2 linked regions of the Danio rerio genome follow. The protein of the gene in region 1 purifies or fractionates together with the protein of each later gene. This does not show direct contact. Links are inferred from orthologs where the notes say so. Each region holds a gene or a part of one and is shown in the gene's direction. Other genes may lie near its edges.

Region 1 (8,761 bases):
TTAAAGTCAGAATTATTAGCCCCCTTTGAATTTTTTTTCTTTTTTAAATATTTCCCAAATGATGTTCAAGGACATTTTCACGGTAAGTCTGATAATATTTTTTTTTTCTGGAGAAAGTCTTTTTTGTTTTATTTAGGCTAGGATTAAAGCAGTTTTTTAATTTTTTAAATAAAATTTTAAGGACAGAATTATTAGCCCCTTTAAGCTATATTTTTTGTCGATAGTCTTCAGAACAAACCATCATAATACAATAACTTGCCTAAATGCCCTAACCTGCCTAGTTAACCTAATTAACCGGAATTAACCTAGTAAAGCCTTTAATTATCACTTTAAGCTGGATAGAAGTAAACAAGTCTTGAAAAATATCAAGTAAAATATTATTTACTCTCATCATAGAAAAAAATAAGTAAATCAGTTATTAGCAATGAGTCAATAAAACTATTATGTTCAGAAATGTGTCGAAGAAATCTTCTCTCCGTTAAACAGACATTGGGAAAATAATTCAGGAGCGCTAATAATTCTGACTTCCAACTGTATAGAGAGAGATAGACTTTACAAAGTAAAAAAATATGAACCTATTTTAATGTCAAATACAGAGAAACCATAAAAACTGTTTAGTAGTCTATTATTCACCCCCTCAAAGCTAAAACCAGACTACACTACAAACTAGAATCAGTACAACAAGGCTGCATTGCTTCCTCATCACCAAGGCTGAGCAAGAGCCAGGAAAACACCGTAGCGCAGGGCATACGATGCGATGATGACACATGAAATGATGCATGTCTGTTGCCCACTCGTCTAAAAAGCAGACTGAGGCTTACTCTCGGCCGGGATGACCGAGCCTGAGTCCTCGGCTTGGCAACACACGAGCAGCATCAGCATCACCGCCGCCGCCGCCAGAGCTCCGCTTGGCCTCATACTGTCGCCGCACACACACAATAAACCTGCCACAGCGAGAAAACACACACACACACACAAATGAGCTAATAATTACATGTAGTCATTCAGACGACGTTTTAAGAAAAGCGAATAACAACTGAGAAATGCTTTGAAAATGACAGTCTGGCACAAACGTAAATAAAGAGCCTGTCGATTTTTGTCTTTGTCTTGATAATGCTAACAAATATGGTCCGTTTCAAATACGACCAAATAGCTCTAATGTAAGGTGCATTATTAATGCTAATTAAAGTGGAACAACAAGCTAATTTGCATTACCTGTAGTTTTCTGATGAAGACACTGGCACCGTTAGTCAAACCACCGCCCTCCTTCACAGGACGCAGTTTCGTTGCGGAGCGTCAATCGCGTTTTTATGATTATTGTCCTTCGCGGTGCGCCGTAGGATTGAGTCCCAAATGTTTTCGAAGCCCAGTTGACGTTTCTCTCTCTCATTGGCTACAGGTGGTCACATGGATTTCAGCCTTCCTCGCTTTGAAAGTGCACCTATGTTCTGTTTTTTAATAATGTGATTTAGACAGATTTCACATCAACATTTGTTTTAATAAGTTTGTTTATTTTGTTGAATGAATTAAGGCTACACAGATATTATTGGGGACGTTATGGTATGTTCGCCAGATGGTTATATATTTACCAGGTTGTGCATAATGTATACAATGATCAGCATAACGTTACACCCCATTTTGAAAATTAATATTTTTATCAATTTCTCAGTAAATATAGGCAATGTATTTTTGTGCATTTAAACCAAACATAATTATTAAACAGATAAATTAATTGAAATAGTATTTTAGTCACCAAACATATTTAGATATTGAAAGATCATACAATCAAATTCAAGCTAAATATTGCAAAACCATTTGCAACCTACAAAAAACTCAGTTTTTCCATTTTGTTACTTCTCTGGTTTTTTTTTTCTCTTTTTAAAATTTGTATTTAATGTTTTCTATAACTTATAAATTTGGCTGTACTAGTTTTTGGACCGTTATTGCAAGTTGTTTTGTTAGATAAGCTCCAGATTTGGCTTCAGTGCTGACTAATCTAATGCATACAAACAAATATAATATTTTATAGCTTCCTATAGAAAATATGAATTTTAAAGACTTAAATGAATTTTATAAGGGGTGTACTTATAAATGCTGAGCACTGTATATATGTTTATTTCAAAGCTGTTATATTTGTTTTCCCTATTTTTATGATTGTTGCATTAGCCTGTTTGTATACATAATCACATAATGTTTACTATATGCACCGGAACGAAGGTGCATTACAATGTTAATACTAAGATAGATAGATAGATAGATAGATAGATAGATAGATAGATAGATAGATAGATAGATAGATAGATAGATAGATAGATGTGTAACATACTGTCGGAAACATAATTTAATAAGCAAAGTGAGAATATCAAAACACAAATGTTCCGCATTTATTCACATAATAAAATTAGCATTGATTGTTGTTATTATTACATGGTATCTGCTGGGTCTCAAAAACTCTAAAAATGTCTTAAATCTCAAAAGCTAAATTTAAGGTCTTAAAAAGTCTTAAATCTACTGAAATATTTTGTGGTAGGTCTTAAATCTTTAATCATGTAAATTTTTTACATGTCTTAATTTTCCTTTGTTCATGTATAGCTACCCAATCTGGCTATTAACACCCATACAATCATCAACAATCTATCTCATTTACATATTTAATTTTTTTATTTCATTTTTAACTCTATTTACCATAATGGTTTAATTATTTTCCTCATAATAATATTTGTTTAAAAGTTCCCCATGTGTTTACTGCTGAGGAAACTGGCCTGGACAGGCTGTTGTTTCTGACCAGTCTTGTTTTTCTCTGATTTAAAATGCTGAATTGGTTGCTTGTTGGGTTGTAGATTCTAAGAAGTGACATGTCATGACGGTTCACGTCTGTTAGCATGTATCGGTGCTTTATGAATTGACCTTAATATATAAAAAAACGACACTTGGGCAAAAATTACGCTGTTTGTTTTGTGGCTTAATGTTTTATGTAAAGGGTATCCACAGAGTCTTAATCTTTTTAAATCTTTAAATCTAGCTACATTTTAGACCTTAAAAATTTACTGAAATATTGTGTTGTAGTTGTAGGTCTGACTTTTTTATCATTCATTTTTGTTCCTTGTTCATGTTTAGCTACCCAATCTGGACATCAACACCCATACTATCACCAACAATTCCAATCATTTAACTTTTCATTTAAAAAATAGCATCTAATTACTTTCCTTACAGTAACATTTGTTTAAAAGTTCTCCATTTATTCAGATACTGACCTGGCCTACATTTTTATATTAAATTATTACTTTATTATTAATTTTATTAAATTATAATGAATAATTTTTGATAGGGCAAGTGAAAATCTTTTACAACAGGGATATTCAATTAAAATCCTTAGCATTTATCCTTGTATAAGGCTAAAATTTAATTTATAATAGTCTTACAAATCTCTTAAAAGTCTTAAATTTAACTTGGTGAAACCTGCAGAAGCCATGTATTATTAATAATGATAATAAAACAGATGTAAACAAAATGTTTGCCAAAATAAGTAGTTTTATTATACATTAACGTTAGTTAAACATTACAACGCCAAAACATAACACGTGAAATCAGAAACAAAACGAAGATATGCAATACAAAACCTGTTACGTGCATCTCACTCATTTAATGTTTGCAAAAGTTTTCCGAGCTCTGCTCGCGATCACACGGGTCCTAGCGCGCGTGTGTCTGTTTTCTTAGGTAGCCTGTTAAAATGCCCGATCTCATTATTCGCCTTTTTCCAAGATGGCGTCGATGAGGGAGAGCGACACCGGCCTGTGGCTCCACAACAAACTCGGATCGACGGACGAGCTGTGGACTCCTTCGAGCATCGCTTCCCTTCTCACCGTGTCGGTCATCGATAATATTCGGCTGTGTTTTTCCAGTCTTTCGCCACCGGTGAAGCTGAAACTCTTGCTGGGGATGCTGCACCTCCCGCGCAGGACCGTGGATGAGGTGCGACTGCAGAACTACACACACACACACACACACACGCTCACTCACACTCTGACTTTACTTCCGACTGTCGCTCGCTGTATCGGGTTGGCATGTTGTTTATTAGTAGTTGTGTGCTGCTGGCTCGTCTGTGTTGCATGTGTAATAATAACATGGCTTCCACCATGAGTCTCCTGCAGCTGCTGTCTTCTCATGTCAGTCTCCAGCAGAGCTCTGCTCGGGCTGCTGTCTGTCCCCGGGTCTGCCATAACTTAATAGCTTCATGCATGTAAACGTGCAGTCAACTTTGGCAGTGTTGTTTTAAGTTAATGTTATTCTGATGGAGTTTGGTCATTTGTTTGGACGAGTAAAACGCCCCCTTTTCAAATGTACTCCAGTAACTAGTTTCCGCCTAAACACTACAGTCATAACAGTCAGTGGTAGTACTGTAACACTGTGGCAGCGTAGTAAACTGCATGACAAACGTATTTAGACGACAAAAATCTTGTTTTGAGTATGAGAAAGCGTCTGTGCACACTCGAAACACATTTATGTAGAGTTAAAACCATGTTCAATCAAATTTAAGGGGTTTTAACAAAATAAGGATTATAGTACTTGCATTGTGCTGTTTGAAATATACAAAGTACATTCATTAATTTTTTTTTGTTGCCTTAATTAATCTAGCCTCGTCACAGCGGAATGAAATGGCAACTTATACAGCATGTTTTACGCAGTGGATGCCCTTCCAGCTGCAACCCAGTACTGGGAAACATACAATCACACGCATACACTAAGGACAATTTAACTAACAATTCACCCATACCACATGTCTTTGGACTGTGGGGGAACCGAGGCACCCGGAGGAAACTCACGCAAACATGGGGAGAACATGCAAACTCCACACAGAAATGCTGACTGACTCAGCCGAGCCTCAAACCAGTGAACTTTTTACTGTGATGCAATTGTGCTACCTGCTGTGCCACCGTAAGTTTTTAAAAAAATCATACATGGAGTGATTAAAAATGCAATTGTCTTGTGTTTAATAGTGTAGCATAACTTACTATAAAAAATGCCCTGACATATGGAAGAAAATTGCCAACCAATTTCTGTAAAAATAAAAATATTCTAATAATAAATAGATAATGTGTGTGCATGCGATTTGGGGAAAATATCCAACTACTCTTTATTTTTTATTTTTTTATTGAAAAGATATTAACTTAAACATTCATTCAAGTGTATTTTTAACTATTCAGAAGTGAAACCGTCATTTTTTTTCCTAGAGCAAACAGTAAACACAAATGACCTTACCTTTCTGTAAACAAGTTAAACTTAAATTAGGGAGGAATGTATACACCTATACAGAACACTTGGCAAGTTAACATGGCTAAAAACAACTCTGAAATTGTTGCTTGCTACTAGATTGAGTGTCACTGGCAATACTTTCAGCTGATTTTTTTCAGCAAGACACTCATCACTCAAATTATGCTCTCTCAATTGGCTGGTAAGACTATCACACACAGACAGCAGTCATGCATAAGCCCGGGGCAGGAGAAATTAAATAATACAAATATATTTCATATTGCAGCCTCTTGCGATTTAGTCGCAACGTTTCAAATTGATTTCGATTAATCACGCAGCCCCATCTGAAAATGTACTGTTCATTTTCTGCCTGGACATTTTTGTTTATTGATCTTCTTTATTTATGTATTTTTAAACAGTGTAAGATATTCATTGTTTCACTAAATTAGCCTGAATTCCTGTCAATTGCTTATGGCCTCAGGAAAGAAAATCTGCAGTTTCTATAATGTAAAAACAAAGTTAAATTAAATAATGTTTTGAGAAATGAGTTTTCTGGATCTATAGCTTTGTGTTGGAGGGAAGTGTGTTAAATAAATTTACTATATTATTACTGATGACATTTCCTCTAAATTTAAAATTAATTGGTCGTTTTAAGCTTTGTTTCTTTTTGCAGTTAGATGTTTAGCATATAATAATAATTTACATGTTTCTATTTGTTTTTAGACAACACATCACCAATGTTTTAACTTAAGATAAGTTGAGAAATCATAACTTTGTTGTGATAACTTTGAATCATAACAAATAAAAACAATTGTCTGAATGCTCTTTTTTCCTGAAGAAATGTTTCAGGTTTTAATAGAAAAAAGCAAATATTAACTTTTTACCCAGACCTAACACATCCTGAGATTAGCTGAGGAAGTGGCCTCGTTTTTCCATAGCAGTGTTTTCTGTTAGAGAGGTCAGTGCACTAGTGGCAGATTCATTGAACAGTCTGGCTAGATTAAGTCTCTGATTTTCTTGATTCTTCCCTAATAATTCAGATGAAGGAGGCTCTGTCAGAGATCATTCAGTTGGCCACAGTGGACTCTGAGCCCTGGGTGTTAATGGTGGCTGACATCCTGAAATCATTCCCAGAGACCGGCTCACTAAACCTGGACCTGGAGGAGCAGAACCCTAATGTACAGGACATCCTTGGAGAACTGCGTGAGAAAGGTCAGTCTGACATCAGTAATGGGCTCTATGCACAGCCAGGGTTTTAAAGCCAATGATAAACTTCCGGTGAAAGCTTAATGTGACTATTTTCAATTTCACAAGGTTGTTTTTACAGCATCAATGTTGTGATGTAATTACAATACATTCAGTTAAATAGACTAAAGCATTCATGTAGTCGTTCAAGCGTGAAATGACATGACTGTTGTAATCACTTGTGCCAGAAGTAGCAAAAGGCCAGCGCAGAAATTCCATTGAAAATACTGGGGTAAGATTGACTCATATTTTAAAGACATGGTGGGGGGAAATGGAATTTAAATGCAGTACTACTTGTCCGATTAGAGACCAATTTCATATCGTATATTTAGCAGCTAGTGAAGATCACAGACTTTTAAAGAAATTAGATCTTAAACATGACAGTTTTGTAATGGAAAGACAGTTCAGTGGAAGTCATTGGGCTGCCTGGCTGAAAAGTAAAAGTCTGTGGACATATAGCCCATTGCAGTATTAGGAGAGGGTCAAAACAGTCTACAGCCCACATATTTCCCCATCCTTGACTTCTTTGACTAGATATTAGGGCTGTGTATTTTGCTCAGTTTGATGTCAGAAAGATGTCTTTGTTAGTGAGTTTTGATATTTGTATTACTGCCTCAGACTAAAAATCTAAAAATATGTTTTGTGTCCATAAATGGTTGCAAAGAGCAATATTAAATACATTTATAACATAATTCTAATGTTAACATTTATAAAAGTGATGTTTAAAAAAATTGCAGTATGTAGGATTGCAGTTCATATTCTAAATTTGGCGAGGGTATTTATTTTTCAACGACTCGATGCACGTGCAGGTTCAATTCAATTCAGCTTTATTTGTATAGCGCTTTTACAATGTAGATTGTGTCATAGCAGCTTCACATAAATGGTCATAGTAACTGGAACAGTTTGGTTCAGTAACTGGAACAGTGTGGTTCAGGTTTTAGTGTTTAAGTTCAGTTCAGTTCAGTTTAGCTCAGTTCAGTGTGATTTAATCATTACTGAGAGTTCAAACACTGAAGAGCAAATTCATCGATGCGTAGCTCTACCAATCCTGAACCATGTGAGGCAGTGGCGACAGCGGAGAGGGAAAAAAAACTTCACCTGATGGGAGTGAAGAAAAAAAAAACCTTGAGAGAACCAGACTCAGTAGGGCACGACCATTTTAATTTCTCCGCTGGCCAAAAGTCTTGTGCAGAACTTCATTCGCCGTGGTTTATGCTGCCAGATTGATGACACACATATCCTCACACTGAAAGCTGCTCTGCTGATGTTTACATTTGTAGCATATTATATTAGTTGCTAGTTAAAAACCACCTCATGTGGATTTTTATAACTCTGAATCTGTGTCTCATTTTGGAGGCTGCTACTGTCCTGCATACATTGAGGCAAGTTTCATTTCATTCTGGCAGTGGGTGGAGTTACTCAGACCAAAACAAAGACAGACATTTCGACAAGGAACACACATTTTTCGGAGAATAACTGACTTTAGCCTTTTTAGTCAGATAAACAATTATGTGTACTTGCATGTATGTTTCTTGTATATCTGCAAACATATGCTTTTTTACGATTGAAGAGTCAAAAACTCACATAGAGCACCTTCAAATTAGAAATATGCTTATATAATACATCATTACATTTAGTATTCATCCTTTTTATTAGAACACCTTTTTTAATTTATTAGTGAAAAGACCTACTAAAATGTAGTACTTTTGTAACATGTTGTATTTCTACACAGTAAATGAATGTGAAGCGTCAACCATGTTGCCTCTGGAGTGTCAGTATCTGAACAAGAGTGCTTTGACCACGCTGGTGGGGCCGCTCACTCCACCCATCAAACACTTCCAGCTCAAGAGGAAACCCAAGAGCGCCACACTCCGAGCCGAGCTGCTGCAAAAATGTAAGTGTTTGTGCCTGTAAAAATGGGTGACCCTCTCTGTTTTCTTTTTTTCTGTATGGATGTATTGTGGTCATTTAATAAAAGAGTTTACCCTGATGTTTCTTTGATGATTGCCATGGTCATTGTTTAATACTTATGATATTTGCTCTAAAGCCACAGAGACCGCCCAACAGTTAAAGAAAACCGCAGGAGTGCCCTTCCACTCCAAAGGAAGAGGACTAGTGAAGAAGATCGACACCACAAGTATGAGTTCTGTTCACACAGTGTTTGGGTGGAAATAATGTTTCATTTTAATTAGTTTAATAATAACATTATATCATATAAGATTAGATGGGATTAAATAATAACTCATTTATATATATATATATATAT
Region 2 (7,533 bases), on another chromosome or scaffold:
CAAGAGTGAATGTTTTGGAGTGGCCATCACAAAGCCCTGACTCAATCCTATAGAAAATTTTTGGGCAGAGTTGAAAAAGCTTGTGCGAGCAAGACAGCCAACAAATCTGACTTGGTTACACCTATTCTGTCAGGAGGAATGGGCCAAAATTCCTTCAAACTATTTTGAGAAGTGTATAAGGATACCCAAAACATTTGACCAAAGTTATACTGTTTAAAAGCAAAGCTAAAAAATACCAAGGAAATGTATGTAAACTTTTGACTGTCTAGAAATTAATAAAAAAATCTAAAACAAAAAAATTCTCTCATTGTTCTGACATTTAGTAAATGTAAATCATTTAGGTAATCCTAATGGACCTAAAATAGTAAACGTTTAGTATATTTACCATCAGACATTATTTTAAAAAAAAAGGTTATGTTCCTTTTTAGAATATATGTAAACTTCTGGTTTCAACTGTATATTGCATTTAATATATTTTAAAACTTCAGTGTCATGTGATCCTTCAGAAATCCTTCTAATAGGTCTATTTTTATGTAATATTATTTCATAACATTATAGTTTTTACAGTTTGTTATGGTCTTGTTGAGCTTGTTTCCAAAACATAAAAAAATATTATATACATGTATATGTATGCAAATATGTCTACATATGTGCTAAACTAAATATCAATGAAGAAGTCTTTGAAAATATTGAATGGATGTAGTGTCTGTAGACTTGACATGTTTCTCTCTTTGTAGTCCGCTAAACGAATCCACAGGAAATCCCTTTACGAGAGGTGAGACTTAAAATAATACTAATAATTAAACATCTTTATTAAAACAGTGTTGTGGTCAATATTAAAGCTGTTTTTTTAATGATCTCATAGTTTTGTTCCTGGAGATCGATCTCGTGATGAAGAGGCAGGAATGCCAAGTCGAGATTCTGAGCGTGACCGGGAAAGGGAGATGGACTGGGAGAGAGATCGAGAAAGAGACAGAGACAGAGAAAGGGACCGTGAAAGAGGTCGAGAGAGAGAACGGGACCGGGAACGGGAACGAGACAGGAGCCGGGATGGAGAAAGAGATCGAGAGAGGGACCGGGATCGAGACAGAGAACGAGACAGAGAGAGAGATGGACCCTACAGACGTAAGGCAATCTGCGCAATTACAAATGTTCATTCAAAATAATATTAACCCATTCAGTGTTCATATTGTGTCTTTACAATAATAGTAAACCGTAAATCATGCATTTGGCTTTTTTTAAACTTGTTCTGTTGAAAATCTGTTCAGGGTCAGACTCGTATCCAGAGCGCAGAGGTGTGCGCAAAGGAAACACAGTGTATGTGTACGGCACCGGTTTAGTGGAGGACAGCTTGCGCACAGCCTTTGCTCAGCACGGCAACATCATTGACCTTTCAATGGACTCTCCACGCAAGTAAGATTATTTTCTTAAAATGCTGGGCATCTGGAAAGAGACAAACTGATTTCTTAACTGTCTATAGTAAAGTTTAGAAGATTGATTGGTTATGAGTTCCGTTGTAGTCTAAGCATTAGGAAAGTTATTAGAAGTTGAAATGGGGTCATTTTTCAAGTATTTAGGTATGCTACCGTTCACAAGTTTGGGGTTGGTAAAATCTTAAGGTGCTGAATAGTTCTACTATTATTATTCTTCCTGAAATGAAGTCTATGGCAGCACATTGAATTGAACATCTGACAACATTGGGGTCTCTAAGATTAACTCTATAGTGCCACCACTAAAATATTACAATAGTTATTCTGTTTATATTTTCTTAAATTCACCTTTCAGAACTACTTTTAAATACTGTGCTACCTACATGAGAGCTGAAAAATGACTATTCAACAGCTTGTCAGAAAATAAAGGCCAATTTTGACATTGTATTATCTTTTAAACAATAAATATCTTTAAGCTGACAAATTGGCACAACAATTGATCTTGAATGCAATACTTAATGAATTTCAAGTATAGTGCCACCTAGATTTGCAGAGATTTTTTAGCAAAGATGTCGATTTTAACTTTGGAAAACATTGTCCAAGATTAGTTGTACTATTCCATTCCTTGTTTTAATAGGGTTCTGATTTGGGATATTGGATATTTACCTCCTTTTTCAAAAATGTCTTTCTTACTTGGATTACAATCAAACAGGTTTGGGACTAGTGAAGGGAAATAAAGTGATGAGAGAATTTCCATTTATGGGTGAACCGTCCTTTTGTCAAACTTGTTAATATAATAATATTTTTAAAAAACCCTACAGACCCCAGTCTTTTAAAAAAGCAGTGCATGTCTGAGAGAAGCCACAATATTGAACTAATAATTTTTGCCTTCATTCTTTTGCCAGTTGCGCTTTTGTCACCTTTGAGAAGATCGAATCAGCAGACCAGGCTGTGGCGGAGGTCAGTAGTCCACTTTCAGCAGCATCATACTTTTATACTTTAAAGGGCACCTATTTTACCCCTTTTTCAAGAGAAGTCTTTTGTGTCTCCAGAATGTGTCTGTAAAGTTTCTACTCAAAACACCCATCAGGTTATTTATTATATCTTTTTAAATCTGGGAAATTTGAGCTGTTAGGACATTGTAGCTGTTTTTGTTTTGTAGCCTGTCCCTTTATTGCAACTGAGCTAGTTCTCCTCAACTACTGTTACCACGTGCGTGTGCAGGAATAATACCATGGGAGTAGCATTTACCTGCTGCGTCTCACTTAGATAAACAGCACAGTGACAGACAAGAATGAAGCAGATCTCTCTTACTACAGTAAGAACTTTTCCAATGGTTATTTGATGAATTTGTTGTGGAGTTAATTCAAGCCTTTCTGCAACGATGAGTCACACACAATGTCGTTATGAAGTTAACACACACACACACACACACACACACACGCGATTGCTGAGACTTATTTTAGTATGTTGATGTATTTCCATACCCGGTAGGCTTCTTACTGCCACCCGCAAGTTTGTACACGTTATTCCTATCCTGTGCTCCCTAAATTCGTTGCCGATATGCTTTAGAATGGAGTTTAAAAATGTAATATATGATTTTTAGGTTATTAAATGGCCAGCCTCCGACTTATCTCTCTAATCCTAATACTGTTCAAATATCTGGCAGATGTTTAAGGTCCAGAAAATGCTAGTCGCTCCCAGATCCAAATAGATGAAAAAAGGAGATTAAGCTTTCTCTGTAGTAGGTGGGAGAAAATTGATCCTCTTGTACCTATCTGGGGCCGAAATGTACCTATCTGCACGAAGACTTGCGTTGAATTCATACTAAAACATTGCGTACGCACAAAGCTGTAAATGTGTGTACGCAGTAAAAAATTCAGATGTATGAAACAGTGCGTACGCGGAATCCCACGCATATTCTCTTTGTACATCTGAATTAACGTGAAACTGAGCACACATGCACGAACACAAAACCCCTCCCTGCCTCCTCCCCCTAATGAATATGGTAATGACTCTACTTTGGCAAAACCAAACAAAAAAGCAATGGCAAAAGCAAGCAAAAAGAGAACCTTTGAACAGAATGTGAATTGGAGGTGCTTATTTCATCATTAGTAAATCCAAACGTAAGAGTGAAATCTGGCGTATGCAGTTTTTGTGCGAACGCAGCATTGATACATGAGGCCCCTGGTGTCTTCTTTATCGCTGATACTTTGTGGTATGTTGGATGTATTTTATCTGTTGGTCTATTTTTGATAATTTGCTTTTAGGATTGTACAACACAATGGTCAGCAACTGTTGTTTTATTGCACTTTCTAAATAAATAAACTAAACTAGAATAACAATGTATGCTAGCAAAATAGATATGATAAGCTTAGAAATGATTAGGGGTTAAGTGTGTGTGAATAATCATAGGTTGTAGTATCTTTCTTCGTTTGCTGAATGAAAACTCTTTCTGTCTGTCAGCTGAATGGCACCACTGTGGGTGACGTCAACATCAAAGTCAGCATTGCCAGGAAGCAGCCCATGCTGGATGCCGCCACAGGGAAATCTGTCTGGGCTTCTCTTGGTAAATAAGGACATTTCACAGGCGAAAACTGCCAGAGTGTTGCACACTTGACTAACCCTTTTCTATTTCTGTCTCCTTCTACTATCTCCTCCTTATTTATCCTTCACAGCGGTGCAGAACAGTGCCAAGGGCTCGTACAGAGACAAACGGAGCCAGGTCGTCTACAGTGAAGATTTCCTTTAGTTACTTGACATTTGCTTTTGTTTTAAAACGTCGGCGTGAGATTTTGTCTAGGTACAGCAGACATGACTTTCACAGAAGTAAATCCTACTTTTCGGTTATTAATAACGCTCAGTGTGGACATTAAGCCCACTCATGTTTATGTCATTGTGTTCAATAAATCAGTCAATAAAATTTTCCATCAACATGTGCGGGGTGACGCTTCATAATATGTGCAAACACAATCGATTCTGATTGTAAATGTGCAAAAAATCAGTTTTAATGAAACGTCAATAAAGCATACCTTCGGAGGCAGAAATTAAAAGCCAGGCTGAGCTTTGAATTGTTGGGTTTCTGCTGTGTGGATCAAGCTTCTCCCTGCAAAAATCAACAACATTAGATGCTATTGATGAAATGAGCTGTAGTTCAGACACTGCAGTGCTCCAGCATTGCCTAAGGGGAAACAGAATACTGAGAATACAAATGCACAGGCATGCACTGTTACATAAACCATTTGCATACAGAAATAAATAACCTTATATACACACATTACTCTGTAGGCCTGTGTTTTTTTTCCCTATTTCTTGCCCCATAAAATAAGAATTTGTTTGAGAAAGAATATCATATCGGTAACACTTTAGAATAACTATCCGTTATAACTAGTTATTAGACCATTAATAAACTGTTAGTTAACAAGTTATAAATGACTTGTTAAACAAAAGTTAATAGTTTGTTAATTATTTACAACTGTACCTTATAGATGGCTAATAGATAACTTACAAGCCGTTAGTTGACAAGTTGTAAATGGCTTCTTAACTGTGTTTTAATTATTTATAACGTTACCTAATAAATTAGTAATAGATCATGAACAAGCTGTTAGTAAATAACTTAATAAAGGCTTGTTAAGTATCAGTTAATAGTGTATATATGTTATTGGGACGTTATTCTAAAGTTGCAGCTATTCTTCATTTATTAACTGTTAGTAAATGAGGAATAGTTGCAACTTTAGAATAACGTCCCAATAACATGCTTAAGCTAATAACTAACACTTAACTATTATATTTACTCACACTTTACAGATCAGTTGTTCACCCTATAATAACACCAGTGAAACTTTTTTATTAGACCACTGGTGTAATTTTAAATTTTTATTTATTTTGTTTTCATGTTTAGCACTTCATGGGTTTGTATTCTTGCATACTGCTGTACTGCCATGTCATGGTTCAGTATGTGTGTTTCTATACATTAAAGACAACTTTTAACATTTCATCTGTGGAGTTTCTTTGGTAAAACACAGCACACAGAAAAGCCTATAAGTGGAACAAGGTTTAGAAACAAACATTTTATATTTTAAATATTACATCAAATTTCTGTAGCTTGAACTTATTCCATCCATTTGCTGTTCTACAAGGATTCATTGGTATAAGTAGATGGTTAACAAACGATGAACAACTCTCGTCTGTAAAGTGTGAGTAAATATAATAGTTAAGTGTTAGTTATTAGCTTAAGCATGTTATTGGGACGTTATTCTAAAGTTGCAACTATTCCTCATTAACTAACAGTTAATAAATGAAAAATATCTGCAATGTTAGAATAACGTCCCAATAACATATACACACCATAACTGATACTTAACAAGTCTTTATTAAGTAATTTACTAACAGCTTGTTCATGATCTCTTAAAAATTTATTAGGTAACGTTATAAATCATTAAAAAACAGTTAAGAAGTCATTTACAACTTGTCAACTAACGGCTTGTAAGTTATCCCTTGCCCATCTATAAGGCACAGTTGTAAATAATTAACAAACTATTAACTTTTATTTAACAAGTCATTTATAACTTGTTAACTAACAGTTTATTAATGGTCTATTAACTAGTTATAACGGATAGTTATTCTAAAGTGTTACCATCATATCCTTTAATTATTATTATTATTGAATGAATGAAGTGCAACACATTAAAAACAGTCAATCTGTAAAAGTGCGACATTATCTTAGCAGTTTTTCAATGAAAACAAAGTGGTTAATTTACTGTCAGGTATCTTGTAAATGCATACATTCTGACTTTAAAAGTTGGGCTAATTTAAGATAGGGCTGGGCAATTTGGCCTAAAATCAAAATCTTGATAAATTGAACATTTTAACTCGATTACGATGAATGAATGATCATTTTTTCAATTTATTTTTTCCCCTCATAGTTCACTGATTTTTTAATAACGGAAGCGTTATTTGTTTTTAAAATAATTGAAGGAAACACACTATCTACTATCTGTGATTATTTATGTGATTTAAATAGTTTTAAAAAAGTTAAAGCACACATTGCCTAAAGTCAGTCAGTTTTTTTCTTATTAAAAATTAAAAACACTAAAAAATAGATTATTTTGTTTCCAAAAGTGCAAGTTATTTAAAGTAGAAAATAAGCAGTATGTCTTCTAAATAAAATAACTCTTGCATATCATGTAAATATTTTATTAACAGTGCATTTCTTGAATATTCAGTAAATAAAAGTTTCATGTAAATAATAATTGTATTCTAATGGAAAAGATGCTGTTTCAAGGCATCTAGCTTTCCAATCATGGTCAATGTACTGCAAACTTTCAACGTTATATTTTTTTAAGGTGTGAAGGCTGTGCCAGACAATACCCGTGCATTCAACGCAAAAGTATAAATCAGCTTTAACAGAACGGGTTCACATGACTCCACAGACAGTAGGTAAAGTAATTAACCAATTAAAAAAAAATAAAAATTAACCAATTAATTCAGGTAATTTTGTTCAATAAAAGTACAAAGATGAAGAGAATAAAAGCTCTCCTATGCTTTCAAAAGTATCTCAGTGTAGCTGAAACAATGAAAATCAATGGATAGATAATGAGTTGTGCAAGTTGAGAGACTGAGAGGTCCATGAAGAAACATATGCATATGCTACAGTATGCAAATGCTGGTGCTTTAGTGGATAATACATTAAATAATAAATAAAATAAATGTCATGCCTCTTCTCAAACAACACTGGAACCGGAACTATTTTTCTGCACAGAAAAGCACAGCTTGGAAAAATGTATTCTTATTGTTCTGATTTATTAAATAAATTTAGTTCATTTTGAACCAAAAAGAAAGGTCACATACAGCATCTTTAGGACAGAAATGTACTGTTAGAAACAAGGACTTAGGGCATTTGATCGCAAAGTACAAACTTAAACACTTAAAGAATGAAACAATAGTACAATTGACGATACCTCACCTATCATGAGTGCCTGTAGTGGAATCTGATGTACACCAGATTAGGCAAGTGGTAAAGTAAATTGGTGAAAAGTGCAATGGCGAAATGAGATATGTATACATGTATTTTTGTATTAAAAAAAAAGCAGTTCATAGCCAC

Evidence for each region.
Region 2: the proteins of nelfa (region 1) and nelfe purify together in Homo sapiens (affinity purification with mass spectrometry; 9 studies listed by BioGRID and IntAct, counting the BioPlex papers as one, with this or other methods). This does not show direct contact. The link is inferred for Danio rerio from reciprocal best matches to the Homo sapiens genes NELFA and NELFE.

What each region holds. Positions count from the first base shown.
Region 1 is NC_133182.1:24,475,623-24,484,383, forward strand, and holds the start of nelfa (negative elongation factor A), read left to right. Parts: upstream 1-3,691; 5' UTR 3,692-3,762; coding exon 3,763-3,972; intron 3,973-6,290; coding exon 6,291-6,462; intron 6,463-8,227; coding exon 8,228-8,389; intron 8,390-8,542; coding exon 8,543-8,632; intron 8,633-8,761. Other genes in the region: nicol1 (NELL2-interacting cell ontogeny regulator 1 precursor), read right to left, coding at 822-918. UniProt on the Homo sapiens protein: Essential component of the NELF complex, a complex that negatively regulates the elongation of transcription by RNA polymerase II.
Region 2 is NC_133194.1:29,343,671-29,351,203, forward strand, and holds the end of nelfe (negative elongation factor E), read left to right. Parts: intron 1-737; coding exon 738-775; intron 776-865; coding exon 866-1,125; intron 1,126-1,268; coding exon 1,269-1,413; intron 1,414-2,335; coding exon 2,336-2,390; intron 2,391-3,896; coding exon 3,897-3,999; intron 4,000-4,108; coding exon 4,109-4,182; 3' UTR 4,183-4,366; downstream 4,367-7,533. UniProt on the Homo sapiens protein: Essential component of the NELF complex, a complex that negatively regulates the elongation of transcription by RNA polymerase II.